Linked DNA regions of Struthio camelus. The protein of the gene in region 2 interacts with the protein of the main gene of each other region in a biochemical or structural test. Links are inferred from orthologs where the notes say so. Each region holds a gene or a part of one and is shown on either strand. Other genes may lie near its edges.

Region 1 (7,111 bases), on a different chromosome or scaffold from region 2:
TGCCCTCTGTTTCAACAAATTACAGTCCTTGTTAACTTCATCTGGACAGCCCAGTTAGGTAGTATGTGAGAAGTACCATTTTCACTAACTGCTTTTTTGTGCTTCATGAGATACTACAGAGGAAAGGGTGGCTTTTGCACCTGAAGGCACTCCACCCAAAGTTTAACGAGTTTCTTCACATCACCAGGTTCCACGTGTTATTTCTCTCTATGCTATCAAAACCATTTAATATTGCTTAAATATTTAAGATCTCTACCAAATTCCCATAATTCAAAGGAAAAGGATTTGTTCCATTAAACTAAATTTTAATGGAATACTTGAAATAAGTTTAGTTGGGCAGTATGTGGTTCTTAGCAGAGATGATGAACCAAGGCCTCTCACCTCTCAGGTAAACGTTCTGGCCATGAAGCACAGGTTATTCTGGAATAGATCTTCCTCAACTCCTTCCTACTGCAGCAGATCCATCCTGTATTAAATAGCTATTCCTTGAGGGAGACAGGTTCCTGTCTAGCCTGGTGATCGGAACACTTACCTGAGAGAGATGATACCTGGATGCCAGTCCTGCTCCAACTAATATTTGTACAAAGCAAGTAGCCCTAACTGTACTGCCTCCCAGATAACCCAAGAGCAATAACTGGCAATGCTGGAAACTACTCTTTTCCCCTGGGGTTGTTTGCAGGCTGGATCTATATTGCAAGTTTTCAGTTACACGACAGAACAACAGCATGGAAGGATATCCTCGATAACAACAGCTACGCTGGGGCATTCCGGGAATACTGCAAGGAGGTTTAAAGGCTGCAGCTAGGAGACATAAGGAAGAGGTTCTGAGGAAGCTGAGGTAAAGGACACGATAATTGGGGAAGAGCACGAGGAGGCAGCTGGGTCTCAGGTATCCTGCCACAGACACGCAGCTGCTCTTCTCCTCTCCAGGAACAGGTTAGTTTGCTGTGACTGGGCAATAGCCCCAGCATAGCAGGGGGCAGCTCCTTGGAGAGCCGGCTCAAGTTTCCTAGCATCTTGTTCCCATAAAGCAGCTGGTTAGCTTGAGCTCAGTGACAGCCCTAGGCTAGTTCCACCCAGCACATGTTAGCATTTCCAGTGGCCAGTTAAAACTGCTTTCTTCTCTCCTTGGGCCACCAATTGGCCCCCCAGGACACAAGCTGGCCACCCACTACAGCATAAAGCTGGTTTCTCAGAGGTGTCCTCTCAGGAAAATTTCTTACAGTCTGAAAGCGCTCCTCAGGGACTACAGAGACTCCCAAGCAAATCAAGACCTTTATTATCTTTGCTTTTCCAAAAGGGGGTGGGGGGGAGAAAGAAATTTAAACTTCCAAGTTTTTGTTTTGGGAGGGGAAAAAAGATGTTTTAATTTGTTAATTAAACCAGTTTGTTTTTTTTTTTTTTTTACTTAGCAGCAAAAAATATAAAGTGCTTCTCTCTGCTTCTTTTGCGACTCTGTTGACTCTGATCATTAGTCAGGATGACTTTACTGTACAAATTCGATCAGCTGTCTTGTCTATCCAGTGCAAAATCAGTCCAAATCTGAACAGCAATACGTGGCCTCCCTTGTCATTGACTTCAGTAGGAATACCCCAGTAGGATCTGACTCTAAATCCAGATGACCCTGTATAAAGAACAACAGCGTAAAACGCCCGGCGTGCGTTTGCTGAGCAGCGGAAAGGCCCAGCTCTGCACGGCCTCCTGCAACCTCTCGGCTCCCGGGCAAGCTAGCCAGAGCTGACGATAGCTCTCGCCTTCTGGACGGTAGGCGACGCTTCTTCAGAAGAGGGAGCCGAAATCTGTTATGCTGCCATAACAGGCAACGTTGCTTTCCTGTATTTTTCTCCCAACCTCCACTTTTTCCATGTACAAGAGAAATGCACTCCAGCATGTTTAAAAATATTTTGAAAAGCATCTAAAATATGCATGTCAATCACAGTCTAGCAAAACCAATGATGCAAGCCTCGCAAACCGTCTTGGATGCCAGGAGGCAAAACTACAGAGGTGTCAACTCGATTTTGATGAAAAACAATGCAGTTAACTATTTTTAAAGATGAGCTAATTCCTTGCCTCTTAAACTTTTTCAAAACGTACGTTTTTACACTTTCTGAGCAGGTGCTATAACCAGCAGGACATAACCTTGTGTTAAGTTGTCCGACTGACTGGCAAGGTGTTTCCTAGCAGGTGTTGCAACAAAATACTTAAAAGTCAAGGCCTGTGTTTTCTGAAAGCTGCGTATGGGGCTATAAAAGCTCATCTGGGAGCCAGAAAGATATTTTAAAGGTACTGAAAAACTCCCCTGAGGAGCTAAAAGAGAAAAACAGGAGTTGTCAGGAGCGCTGTCTCTTAGGGCAGCGCGAGGCGGGCGCTGAGGCGTTGAGAAACCTGCGCAGCGAACTCGCTGCCCTCTCCAGCAGGCAGAACGACATCAGCGGCGTTTCGGGAAAAAATCCCTGTTCACAGGCCTTTTATCCCTGAACAACGCGAAGCCGTTAACGGCCGCGGCGACTCCGTCCCCACCGGGCGGCGGCCTTCCCTCAGCGCCCCGCCGCCGCCTCAGCGCGGGGCCCCGGCCGCGCCGCCCCCCGCCCCGCCCCGCCCCGCCCCGCCCCGCCGGCGGCCCCGCCCCCTCCTCGCCCCGCCCCGCCCCGCGCGCCGCCGCCGCCGGGGGGAGGGGAAGAGAGGGGAGGGGAGGGGAGGCGGCGAGCGCCGGGCCCGCGCAGCGCGGGGCCGCCCGGCCGTTGCATCATGCGCGGCGGCAGCGCCGCTCCGCGCGCGCCCCCCCCCCGCGGCATCCCCGCGGCCCCCCCCCCTCCCCGCAGCGCGCCCCGCGGCCGGCGCTTACCTGGCCCGGCTGCGGCTCCGGTAGCGGCCGCGGGAGAGGCGGGCGGGCGGGCGGGGAGGGGGCGCGGGCCGGGCCCGAGTCTCTTTCTTTAAAGTGTTGAGTGCGAGCGAGCGGCGATTGCGAAACCCTCCGCGCGCTGCTCCCGCCCCCTCGCCGCCCGCCAATGGGCGGCGAGGGTCCCGCCGGGGCATGATGCAATCCCCGCCCGGATTGGCAGCGGGCGCGGCCAATCAGGCCCCCGTCAACACTCTTAAAGGGAGAGGCCGTGTTTTTCCGTGGGGAGGTCGCGCGCCCCGCGGCGGTGGGCAGGCCCCGGCCCCCAGCGGGCGCCGTGGCCGTGGCCGTGGCCGTCCCTCGGGGAAGGCCCCGGCCGGAGCTGCGCGCCGGTGTCGCCCGTGCCGTCACCCACGCGCGGGCCCGGCGCCCCTGGGCTCCTCCCGAAGCGGCCGCCATGCGAGGCTAGAGCGGCTCTTGGCAACAGGAGTGACGATAAACTCCTAAAATGCCGTGGGTTATGAGTTGCTGCTCAAAAACTTCCCACCCAGGGAAGGGGGCTAGAAACAGGAAGGGGGAGTGCGGTGTCGTGGAGAGATTGCGCACGGCTTATGCTGGCGTATCTTTGCTTCTTCTAAAATATTTTTGTTTATTTCTAGAGAAGGAATTTTTGGGCCTTAAAACTTTTCCAACCGTGTTGGAACTGCCTTAGCGTGTGCGCTGTGACGACAGGCGCCCACGTCTCCGCAGTTGTACGTGCCTGAAGCGTGGTTTAGCGCTTTGCATGGAAAAGGTGTACAGCGGCGCACAGGTGTATGCGTTTGCAGTAGGAAAGCTGTCAACATGCAAGGTAGTCGAGGTTTGAGCAGGCTCAGGTGTGTGGGCATCCAGAAGAACAGTGTGGGAAAAGAGCTTTTGTTTAAGTGCGGAGAGGAAAAGTTTCAATGTGTGCGCCACGCCGGTGCAACGTAGACCTGTCTGTGAAGCATGTGCTACGTCCGCAAAAGAAGAGCGGGAAGAATCAGATTTGTAAGCATAGTTGCAGCGTTCAGTAAAGCAGATGTAATAATTTGTTATTTGCCATTTTTGTGGCCGTCTGACGTTGTGTGGGTTTTATGTTGTTGTTTTCGTAAAGCCTTGAGGAAAATAAACCTCCTTTGCAGAAGAATTTGGGGCAGTTTGTCTGGGCAGTTTTACTCAGCTCGTTACTATGAAGATACTGTTTCCGTGTCAGTCATCAAGTATGTGTTTTAACATCTCTAATTTTTTTTTATTTGTCAGTTGAAACTGCTACGTTTTCTCTGATGGTGACTCATCCACCTATAACTAGAGCAAAGATTCCAGGTAAGCATTAAACATTATCCTCTGTTTATAACAGTTAAGTAAGTGTGTGCTCTTAGAGCGCTTTCCTGGGATTGTAGAGCACTTTATGACCATTCATTAATCTTCCTCAAAGAAAACTGAGGAAAATACAATGTAGACCTACTCATTCTCATAGAGTCTGAAACTTTAAACCTTAAAGCACACACATAAGTAGCTCCAGCACTTGGTTGGCATTGTATCCTGTCACATGAAAACCATCACACAGTGTGCTTAAGAGTTTGTAAGATGAATTCATTTCTTCTCACAGTGTTGCAGTAACAATAGAATATGATGGGAAAAGTCTAAAAAGTAATCACAAAAATACATGGACATCTACTCTTCAGACATGATATGGAAGCATACACCTTACCTGCTTGTTCACAAGTTACTTCAGCCGTGCAGTAGCTCTGGGTTTCAGCATCATAAGCCGACCAGTCCCTGCTGGGGTGGAACCCTTTTCACTCTGGTTCTAGATGGGTTCCCATAGCAACACTACCCACGAGACTGTACTTAATAGTATCTTATTATCTGTAATAGTATCTTATTCTCACCTGTATAATCCAATCTAATCACTCTTTAAAAGGTTCTGTTCCTTAAAAAAAAAAAAAAAAGACATTCAGCATTCTCAAATAACCTACAGAAAATCACAGTTAGAGGCAGAAAAGCAATTGGAAGAAGACAGTGTCTGTGGGAATCAGAAGCAGAAAGTGTAAAGGGAAGAGGAGTCTCTTGGGGTGACTGTCCCTGTTTATTACCCACTATGTATGAGTCACACTACTGATAAATTGGTTTGGGGAGTATTACAGGTAACCAGAGGTTATACACGTTATACTGCAGTGATATTGCACTGCAAAGCTCAGTATGTTCCCTTAACCCTTACAGATACATTTAAGAAGTTCTCTGCAACCTTCCACTTACAGTCTGTGAAAGCTATTTTGTCTCTCTTGAATCACTTTTATTTTGTGTCTGATTCCAGTGTTTCTGCTTGTTCTTCCTGAACTGTTAATTCTTTATCCTAAAATAAAAAAACATACAAACATACTGGACTACAACCTACACTTCAAAAGATTTTTTTTTTTTCCTGTAAGCCTTCAGTTCTTTGCCTCCATTTCTCTCCTGGTTAGTCTTCACTGGACCTTTTACTTCAGACTTGCACATTTCTGTTGATGGTTTACCTTTCACACATGATGTTACTGTATAGTTTTTCTTCTGGTCTAACCTCTGTGCATTTTGAATTCTTCTAGAAGAGAATTCAATCATTTGTTTTCCTGTGATTTGGAACACTGGCAATTAAATGTTTTTAATATAACAGTGAATACTTTTTAATATTTTACAAACAGAAATATATAGGCCCCTTGGGTAAAAAGACACAGTGCCCAGCTGTGATGTAAGGTATACTAATGTATTTGAAGGCAAATATACTAGAAGATGCCAAAACCTTCTGTCTTTCTGTAGAAGTCTTCTAGAAGCTGAAGGGACACAGATCTGTAATTCCCCCCTCCCACCATTTAGTGTTTCAATTTTAATCATCCAAATAGAGCTGTGTCGTAACAGAATATTGAACAAATAATAAGAAAGCAGCAGTGTGCTTCTGTCTGTTCTGACATGGAAGAAAGAGAACAAAAAGAAAAGTTAGCTCACATTTGCTATTGCGAGTCTTGTTTAAAAAGGTTTTCTTAGTAACTGTTACCCCTGCTCTCTCAACGTAGATTTGTTCAAAGCTAGATAGAATTTCTTGAATGTGATCACATTCCTGGTGTTCACCGAGTGGATGGCATTCTTTCAGGGGTATCCCAGAAATAGTCTGTAATAAAGGTTCTCCCTAATCTTAAGATTGTAAAACTGTCGTCTTGTGATAGTTTTTGCACCTTGGTATTACAATAATTATTGCTTGTATTCAGGACTGACCTACACCAAGATCAAAATAATGTTAGAAATCTAGATTTGGTATAGCTGAGGTTATAAAAGCTCCAGAAAGCAAAAGGGCTGCTGAGTTTAATGTATCAATCAGGAATCTGGCTCTGTCAGAAATCTGCATTTCAAAAAATGAGATTCAGAAAGAAAGAAAGGGAAAAAAGCTCTTATCAATACCTCTGTTTTTTCATTTGTTTGAAAAAGCTTACACTTGAAAAGCACAGAATTTCTGAGTAGTTTCTCAGTCAGATTTGGTAGAAACCAAATGGTTTAAATAGTAGAAACTTGTCTATTAATAGATTATTTGTCAGTAACAGCCTTTATGAATAGGTGAAGAGAAAGGAGAGGAAGCATTGCTTAGTGGTGGTCACTATTTCAGGACTGCGTTTCTAGTTCTAGCACTGACTCACTATAGCCTTGGAAAGTTGCAGTGCTTTTGTTCTAGAAAATACTAAGTAAAGAAAGGAACCATTCTATTCTAATAGCAAACATCCATTTTATTGTAACGCTGCCTGGCGTTCGTTTACAGGAAAAAGCCAGTGCCTTTGTTCTTTCTCTCTATGTAGCTAATAATTTTTGCAACAAAGTATTTACAGTTTCTGATTCTCCTACTGCATCTTCCAACTCTATTTGCAGTTATCAAAATATCAAAGTTACCAGAATGTCTAGAGTAAATCGTACTGCTTTATGAAAGAGACTAACTCAGTTACTTGTGCAGAATAAAGGGAATGTTTCCCAGAAGGAGAGGGACCAGCAAGCCAACAGCTGTTTGCTTTGCCCCCACGTCTTCTCTAGCTCTTTTAGCATCAGCTAGCTGCGTAGGTGAAGGAGCCATTTATGCCCATTTTTTTAGGTTTATGTTTTCATATGTTATTTTGGTTGGTAGGCTTGGTTTTTTGTTTTTTGTTTTTTTTTTAACCATTGAACGTGAGAGGTCTCTGTTCACAAAATTTTTGTTGAAGATAAATTTATTTTTGGGTGAAACCCTTACCCAGC
Region 2 (7,687 bases):
CAAGATCTATAACCAAGTTATCAAACCAGGAGAGGATGATTAGCTAGGAAATGTCAGATAGCTATGGAGAACTTCTGGAAAGATAGTGGACAGCAACTCCCCTCCCATTTCTTTCAGCATACAAGAAAACAGGCTAGTCATAAAACACAAAGCCACCTCTTATTATACTTGCTCAAAGAGGAAGGAGTAAAGACAGTAGCTGCTGCTTTGCACCGCTCCCCCTCACGGGCATTCGTGTGCACCCTGCCTCTCTGCTCTCTCGCAGAGCCCCAGAGTGGGTGCTCTGACCTGCAATCTGCTCTGGAAAATTTTCCGTCTGGTAGGAGAAGGTATTTTGCTCATGTTGTCCCACCGGCTGGAGGCACCAGTGCCAATCTCCAGGTGTCGTCTCTGCAGCACCCGGTAGGGCAAAGAGCAGCAAGTAGATAAAGCAGGGATTGAGCAACCTACCACTGCAAAGGCCAAGCATGCCGGGTCAGAGGTGAGCAGAAAATAAGCAGAAGACTAACAAATACCCGAGCATCATCATGTCACATGGGAGCAAGGGGTGAGGGAGCACTGAGTCAGGGGGAGGACTCTGTGCTGCAACGAAAGAACCGCACGAGGCCAGGAGACCTGGCCGCAGCGGGCAGCCGAACAACCTGCCATGGGAGCTTGCAATGCTGAATACAAAAGCTGGAGTTCAAAGAGAGAGGGGACCAGGTGCCCACAGTTTTTTATTTCAAAATAAGGCAAAATCTCAGGTCTGAGAAGTAGGGGAGACAGAAGGAAAGCCAGCCTCTTCCTAAGTTGAGACATTGTCTCTATCTGATGTTGATACAGTGGAGCAGGGTGAGTGCAAAGCAATAGCCTGAAATTCGGCCTCTACCAGGTACAGCGCTTGAGTTTTTGCTGGCATAAGGTTGGCAGCTGCATAAAAAAGGACCTGGGGCCAGGAAGAAGGAAAAGGCAGAGCACAGAACATGCTCAGAAATAAACTTCCATTTTACTTCTCTATTTTTCAGCTTTTATTACAGCATGGCTCCACTTAAGTCAGCCTCTCAGACAAGATCACCTCCTACCCCCCAGCAAGCTCCCCAGGTCGCCCCCGTGCTCTCCCAGGCTCTCCCGAAAGCCATTACACTCTCTTCTTTAACTCACCTCCAACACACTGTCTGCAACACCTTGTTCACTGGTGCACGCCATCAACTTCTGGCATTAACCTCTTCCCTCTTAGCCCCTCTTCTGCTCCTGAACATCTTGTTTTTGGACCGCAGATCTCTGGGCGAGCTGCGTGTTCGCACCATGCTTACCATGCTGCAGCACTGATCTGACTGATCTGCTAGCAATTACTGCAAGGCAAATAACACATGAGAGAAGTCTGCAGCAAGAAGCATCAAAATTATAGCCAACTTTTTCCTAGCGTACAATCCCCAATCCATAGACCTTCTTACAAACACTTCAGTGTATGATGTGTCACTATTAAACTGGTATCTTCTCCTCTAGGCTGATGTCCTTCAGGGACAGCTGCTGTAACCTAGAGGGCAGGACTGGAGAGCTTGTAAGAAATAGTGGAAAAGAAGACAATTTCCAGAAAGAAGATGCCTCTACAACGCTTTAGTGTAGGGTTGAGCCTAGAGCTGGAAAATTGTGGCTTTACAGTACAGAAGGGAAACTGGAGGGCAGAATCTAAGTCCTGACAGAAATGAGCAGTGAATAAGAGATTCTTCCCTCCACCTTTTCCTCTTTCTGGTATCAGTGTGCTACCCTTCCAGTATTTATATTGTTTTACGCATGAATCCGGAAGCATCTGGATTTTATTGCATCAGAAAAAAAATTTTTTTTGCTCAAAAATGTTGATGTTCTAACTAAGTAATCTGTGAATGATGCCGTCTCCTTCCCCAGTTGACTAGTTCTGAAAAGGGAAATCATGAAATCATTAGAAAGCAGGCGCTTTTGACAAAATATTGACTTTCTGCTGAAGGTTGCTCTGTCAGGACACCCATTGCAAAAGTGCTCTCACCCTCAGGTATTTCACAGGGTGACACCAGTACCTGGACCCCTCAACCAAGAAATGTCTGCACCTCAATTTCTGCCTAAAGTATCTCTCTAAAGCGAAGGCTTTTGGGGAGGATTAGTAGCCCGTGCACATCTGGCCAGGCCAGGCCACAGCAGTCTCAGGGACAGGACTGAGTGTGCTCAGGCCCCTGCCCAGGCTGCCTGGGACAATCCTCCGCAGTGTGCGCCTTGCTCTGCACCTGCTCACGCTTCCAAAACCCCATTTCTGGCCATGCATTTGTTATGACAAGTGCAAAAACAAATTAAAAGACACAAGAGTTAGCTCAAAACTGGCTTGCTGAATGTGAGGGTTTTGGATAAGTGGTTAATTCCGCCAACAAGGTTCCCATGAGAAGTTGTGACTGGATGTTGCTTCCCCGTGAGTGGCTGCTGGGCTTTGAGGTGAGCTGGAGGAAGTTTAAAGAGATGCAGGGACAGTGCGGAGGTGAGGGGGGAGACGGGATGGAGGCGACAAGCTGGGCATCCAGCCTCAATTCCTGTGCTGGCTGACGTGTGATCTCCGTGAGTACAGAATTACTCAGCGCGGGCCTGGAAAGGAGGTGTGGGCCATACCATCTCTGATACAATCTCTTTCACATGATAGTTGCACAGACATTTTGTTAGGGAAGATCGGCCTAGGCTCAGGTACAACTTTCTGCTACAGAGCAGCAGCAAATAGGGCAGCAGGTCAAAGAAAGCAAATGTGAGATCCCCAGAAACATCTTGAAAATTTGCCCAGGAGATTTACCAGTTTTAATGTTCAGTTTTAGCTAACGGCCACGGTAAGCTAGAGATCTGCCAAAGACCAAACATGCATTTCGGGGAGCCATCACTGTAGGAGACCACCTGCTTGTGAGTCCCTCTGCTTGGAGGTAGAAAGCACGTGAGAGCAATTTCCACGAGTTCAGTTGCAAGGGCCAGTTACAGCAGCCGTTGCCTATAACTGCCAGATGAGAACGCAGGATAAAGACATAGAAGAAAAGAGTAAACTGCCAGAAGAACGAGCCCCGGCTCACTACAACTTGCCAGCATTTGCACCTAATACAGATGTTTGTCTTCATGAAGGTATGGGCTGCAGCTACAACCTGCAGACCAGATCTCTGGCCAGGCCCAGCTCCAGTTTAATCTCTGGTGCACTCACCAAAGATTAGCCTGGTAGATAAAGATGGAACTAGAAATATTTGAAGTCTGCAAACCTGTTAGGGTACTTTCATTATGGAAAGAAAAAGCCATTGAAAATGTGAAAAGAAAAAGAAAAGAGGAGAAAAAAGAAAAGAAAGAAAAGCCTGATGGTCTACTGACTGATTTCTGAATTCTTCCTCTTTTCAAAGTTTTGAGGTTTGAACATTATGAACAGTTGACTGTTTGAATCGCATAATGCAATACCTGTTCCTCTGGCTTAACGTTACAGTATTTCCCACACCGCAGGATTGCTTCACATTATTCTGAGAGGCAGTGTCATTTTCCCTGCAGTGCTAGGCCTTCTTTACTAAGGCGAAGGACACTCCTACTTCCTTTAATTATATGTTTTGTTTTAAATTAATGTCCTTTATTCTGGGGATGAATCACCAGCTTGTAGACAGGTAAATGTGGGAGTAAGAGAGAGAAAATATAAGTTTGATTCCCAAGGTGGGTGTCTTTAATTAAAAACGGACATCAAGATTCAGTCTTCCTTCCTAAACTTACCCTGCAATTCTAAAAACACGTGGATTCCATGTTTCTATGCACGTATCTCACTTTCCTTCTGAATCACTTTAAATACGGCCCCCTTCGGTTTCAGAGCACAAATTCCCTATCACTTGTGTACCCTGACAGTTGCACCATATCATGTAAAGTAAATACGCCAAGACAAACGTTAAGGCCATCATCCCTGCGTGAAGAGGTGGGGAGGGGAGCGCAGGGTTTGCTCAGCTCTCTAACCGCTCATAGCCGCAAGAAGGAAGTCTGGAGCAGCGCCGTGTCCTGCTCCAGCTCCATTTCACCGAGTTCCCTGCTGGCTGTTGTAAAGTGGTTCGGAGCACGTCTCTATGGGACAGTTTTGCCTGCCAGTGGGATTTACTTGATTAAACATTGGCCGGAGAATAACAGGATCTGTCTTCTATTTGCAGCTTTTTCCCTGCCTTGGCAAAAGAACTCGGAAAAATCCCTCCTGCCTTGATTTCCCCAAGGGTAAAACAGGACCCAAACGGGATTTGCACCCACCTCTGCACGGCACTTTCCGCCCTACAGCACTAAACCCTACTCTCAGGTGCAAAAGATCCAGCCTGTACTGGCACGACGGCGGCAGCAGCGTCTCAGGACGGGCGACACTCGTGTGTGTCCACGTCCCGCAGACCCTCCAGGGGCGAGTAGCGTCCACTGACCTCTCGTGCAGATTTTACAACAGCTCAGAAAAATCAGCCGGCAGGAAGAAAGGTTGCCCTGCTCTTTCTCTTACCTGCAGGACTGTGCGAGTAAGTCCCCTCCCTCAAAAGCCAACCCTGTTTTATTCCGGGTGGCTAGGTACAGTCGCACACGCACACACCCCCCAAGTGCCTCCTGCGGGGCCAGCGCCAGCGGTTGCGAAGTGTGCAGCGTGGCAGGCGGCCAGGCGCTGACGTTCCTGTTGCTATGGGATCCACCGCCCCTATAAATAACTGAGCAAAGGAACTTTCCTAAGTCAGAGACTTTAGGACACGGGACCCAGAACCAGATGGTCCGGAGGCGAAACGCCGGCTCGAGTAGCACCAGCAGGAGCGGTAAAGCCCCGCCGTGCCGCAGGAACTGATCCAGCCCCGGTGCTGGGCAGCGCAGCTGGGGGCCGTACCCAGCACCAGAGACTGAGGCAGGGTTTGGAGCCCCCCACCGCAACGGCGGCAGCTTGATCCTCTGCCGGGGGGGGCCCCTGCGCTGTTTTCTCCTCCCTGCATCCCTCTTTGCTTTCATGCAACGCCTGGTGGCCTGGGACGCAGCATGCCTCCCCATCCAGCCACCCGCCTTTAAATCCATGGAAGTGGCTAATTTCTATTACGAGGCGGACTGTCTGGCTGCTCTGAACAAGCTGCACCCGCGGGCGGTCGGGGGCCGCTCCATGACCGAGCTCACCGTCGGGGACCACGAGAGAGCCATCGACTTCAGCCCCTACCTGGACCCCTTAGCATCCCAGCAGCCGGCGCAGCCGCCTCCTCCCGCAGCAGCAGCAGGGGGCAACTTTGAGCCTGCCTGCAGCAGCGGCGGCGGCCAAGATTTCCTTTCCGATCTCTTCGCCGAGGACTATAAAGGCAGCGGCGGCAGCAAGAAGCCCGACTACACCTACATCAGCCTCGCCCGGCACAGCCACCCCTGCGCCAGCCAGAGCCACAAGCCGGGGGGGCTGCCGGGCTGCTTCCCGCCCCAGATCGTGGAGACCAAAGTGGAGCCGGTCTTCGAGACCCTGGACTCTTGCAAGGGGCCCCGTAAGGAAGAAGGGGGAGCCGGGCCGGGACCGGGGGGCATGTCCTCTCCCTACGGCAGCACCGTGCGCTCCTACCTGGGTTACCAGTCGGTGCCGAGCGGCAGCAGCGGGAACCTGTCCACCTCGTCCTCCTCCAGCCCCCCCGGCACCCCCAACCCCTCCGAGTCCTCCAAGTCGGCCGCCGCCGGCGGGGGCTACTCCGGCCCCCCGGCGGGCAAGAGCAAGCCCAAGAAGTGCGTGGACAAGCACAGCGACGAGTACAAGCTGCGCCGGGAGCGGAACAACATCGCGGTGCGCAAGAGCCGCGACAAAGCCAAAATGCGCAACCTGGAGACGCAGCACAAAGTCTTGGAACTGACGGCCGAGAACGAGCGGCTGCAGAAGAAGGTGGAGCAGCTCTCCCGGGAGCTGAGCACCCTCAGGAACTTGTTCAAACAGCTGCCCGAGCCCCTGCTCGCCTCCTCGCCGCGCTGCTGACCCCCGCGCCGGGCCGGGCCGCGCCGCCGCCGGCTCCCTCCTCTCGGGCCGGGAGAGGAGGAGAGCCCGGGGGGCGGATTGGTTCTGTTTTCGGGGTTTTTTTTTTGTTTTTCTTTTTTTTTTTTTGGTCTTTATTTACGTGTGGGCGGAAGGCCCCGCCACGGCGAGCTGCCGCGCGGGCTGCCCGCGGGGGCCCCGGCCCCGGCCCCGGCCCCGGCCCCGGGCGGGCTCCGCAGGCGGCGGGGCGCGGGGGTTATTTAAAACGGCGAGAGGAGAGCGAGGGCAGAGTGATGCAATCCTTTAAGCATGGCTGGGAATGCTGTGTACATGATGCAATCTCGTGTAACTGTCAGTCATGAATTGAGTAATCTGTTAAAGATGTTCCTACAGTTTTTTTTTTTTTATTATAAAGAATAATCTATTTCTATAAGAAAATACATATGTATATTTTGGGATCTATGCATTCTTGCTACATTTGAAGCATTAATGAACAATTTTAATAAACTTTATGACTAGGTTAAAAAAGTAGCTTGTTTTATTTTGAGAGCACGTTTAAAGTGAGATTAGAGACAGAGCTGAAAATCTAGCTCAATCTGGCTCAATGCTGAGATCAAGGACCAAGATTTTTTTTTGGTCTTTTGACTTTCTCTGTAACTCAGCAAAAAAAAAAAAAGGAGGGGGAGGGGGACGAAAAAAAAAAAAAAGACCTAGCAAAGAGCAGAGCTGGGAGCTTTAGCCAGTTCTTTCTTGCTGCCTCTTCTTATTTCCTCTTATCACTTGCTTTAGCTGCAGCTTGGGGGTTGTTTGGGGAGAAAGTGTTTGTTTTGGGGTTTTTTGCAATTCTCGCTGTTCTTGGTGTGTAGAGACGTGCTGTCCAAAGCGTGAGCAGTACCTAGCAAAGCAATGCCAAGTCTGAAGTGGGAGGGAGGAAGAAAAAAGTAAGGAAGGAAGTTTGAAATGAGTTGTTGTTGTTTTTTTTTCCTTTAAGGAGTGTCTATTCTCCAAGTTACAATTCAGCATTTCTTGTGTTTGTAGTTTACAGGAATAAACATGAGGAAGTAGCATATCTGTTGGATGTCAGTAATTTGGTCAAGGCTGAGAAAGCTTGCATGAAACCTGGCCAGGTGAGAGGCGCTTGAATAACTCTCCCTAGTACTTTCTCTTGAGACTTTTTAAAAAATGTTTCTAAAAACCGTGGGTAGAGTTTCTCCGTTGAAAGCTGTTTGTTTATGTGTGCATGCGTGTTTGCTGGGGCAAAACAACAGATAACGTGTGGGGGTGGCAGAAAAGGAGGAACTTGCAATAGGCCATAACTTTGTTTCAAAGAGCAATAAGGCTTTGCTGCCGCTACGGAGCCCGACTTGCCAAGGCCCCCGAGCCGTGTATTTCCTGACTCCCCACTGTTCGCTGCTGTGTGGATGTCTGTAAAAAGTTAACCGTCTTGAGCTGGTTACATGGAGGGAGTTGAGCAAATGATCAAATCTTACTCAGCATTTTCCATTTTCCTGTTAGGCCAAATTTAACCACTAAGTTTTAAAATCTGGATTCCCAGTGCCCCGCAAAAGAAATTTCCTCACTGTCTATACTCTGTTTGACAGCTGAATAGAGAATATATTTTTTTAAACAAAAAAGTAGATTTGAATTTGCTGCTGTATATTCCAATATAAAGAGTAATTTTTGCAATTCTCAATGCAGAAAAAGGAAAAATCTTGATTTTGATTGCTTACTTCTAGCGTTTCT

Evidence for each region.
Region 1: the proteins of CEBPB (region 2) and CEBPG form a complex in vitro, tested with the Homo sapiens proteins (2 studies listed by BioGRID and IntAct, with this or other methods). The link is inferred for Struthio camelus from reciprocal best matches to the Homo sapiens genes CEBPB and CEBPG.

The regions. Positions count from the first base shown.
Region 1 is NC_090951.1:12,240,468-12,247,578, forward strand, and holds the start of CEBPG (CCAAT/enhancer-binding protein gamma), read right to left. Parts: upstream 3,010-7,111; 5' UTR 2,846-3,009; intron 2,516-2,845; exon of another isoform or gene 1,625-2,515; 5' UTR 1-1,624. UniProt on the Homo sapiens protein: Transcription factor that binds to the promoter and the enhancer regions of target genes. Binds to the enhancer element PRE-I (positive regulatory element-I) of the IL-4 gene. Binds to the promoter and the enhancer of the immunoglobulin heavy chain.
Region 2 is NC_090959.1:10,031,051-10,038,737, forward strand, and holds the start of CEBPB (CCAAT/enhancer-binding protein beta), read left to right. Parts: upstream 1-4,672; 5' UTR 4,673-4,960; coding exon 4,961-5,947; 3' UTR 5,948-7,071; intron 7,072-7,680; 3' UTR 7,681-7,687. UniProt on the Homo sapiens protein: Important transcription factor regulating the expression of genes involved in immune and inflammatory responses. Also plays a significant role in adipogenesis, as well as in the gluconeogenic pathway, liver regeneration, and hematopoiesis.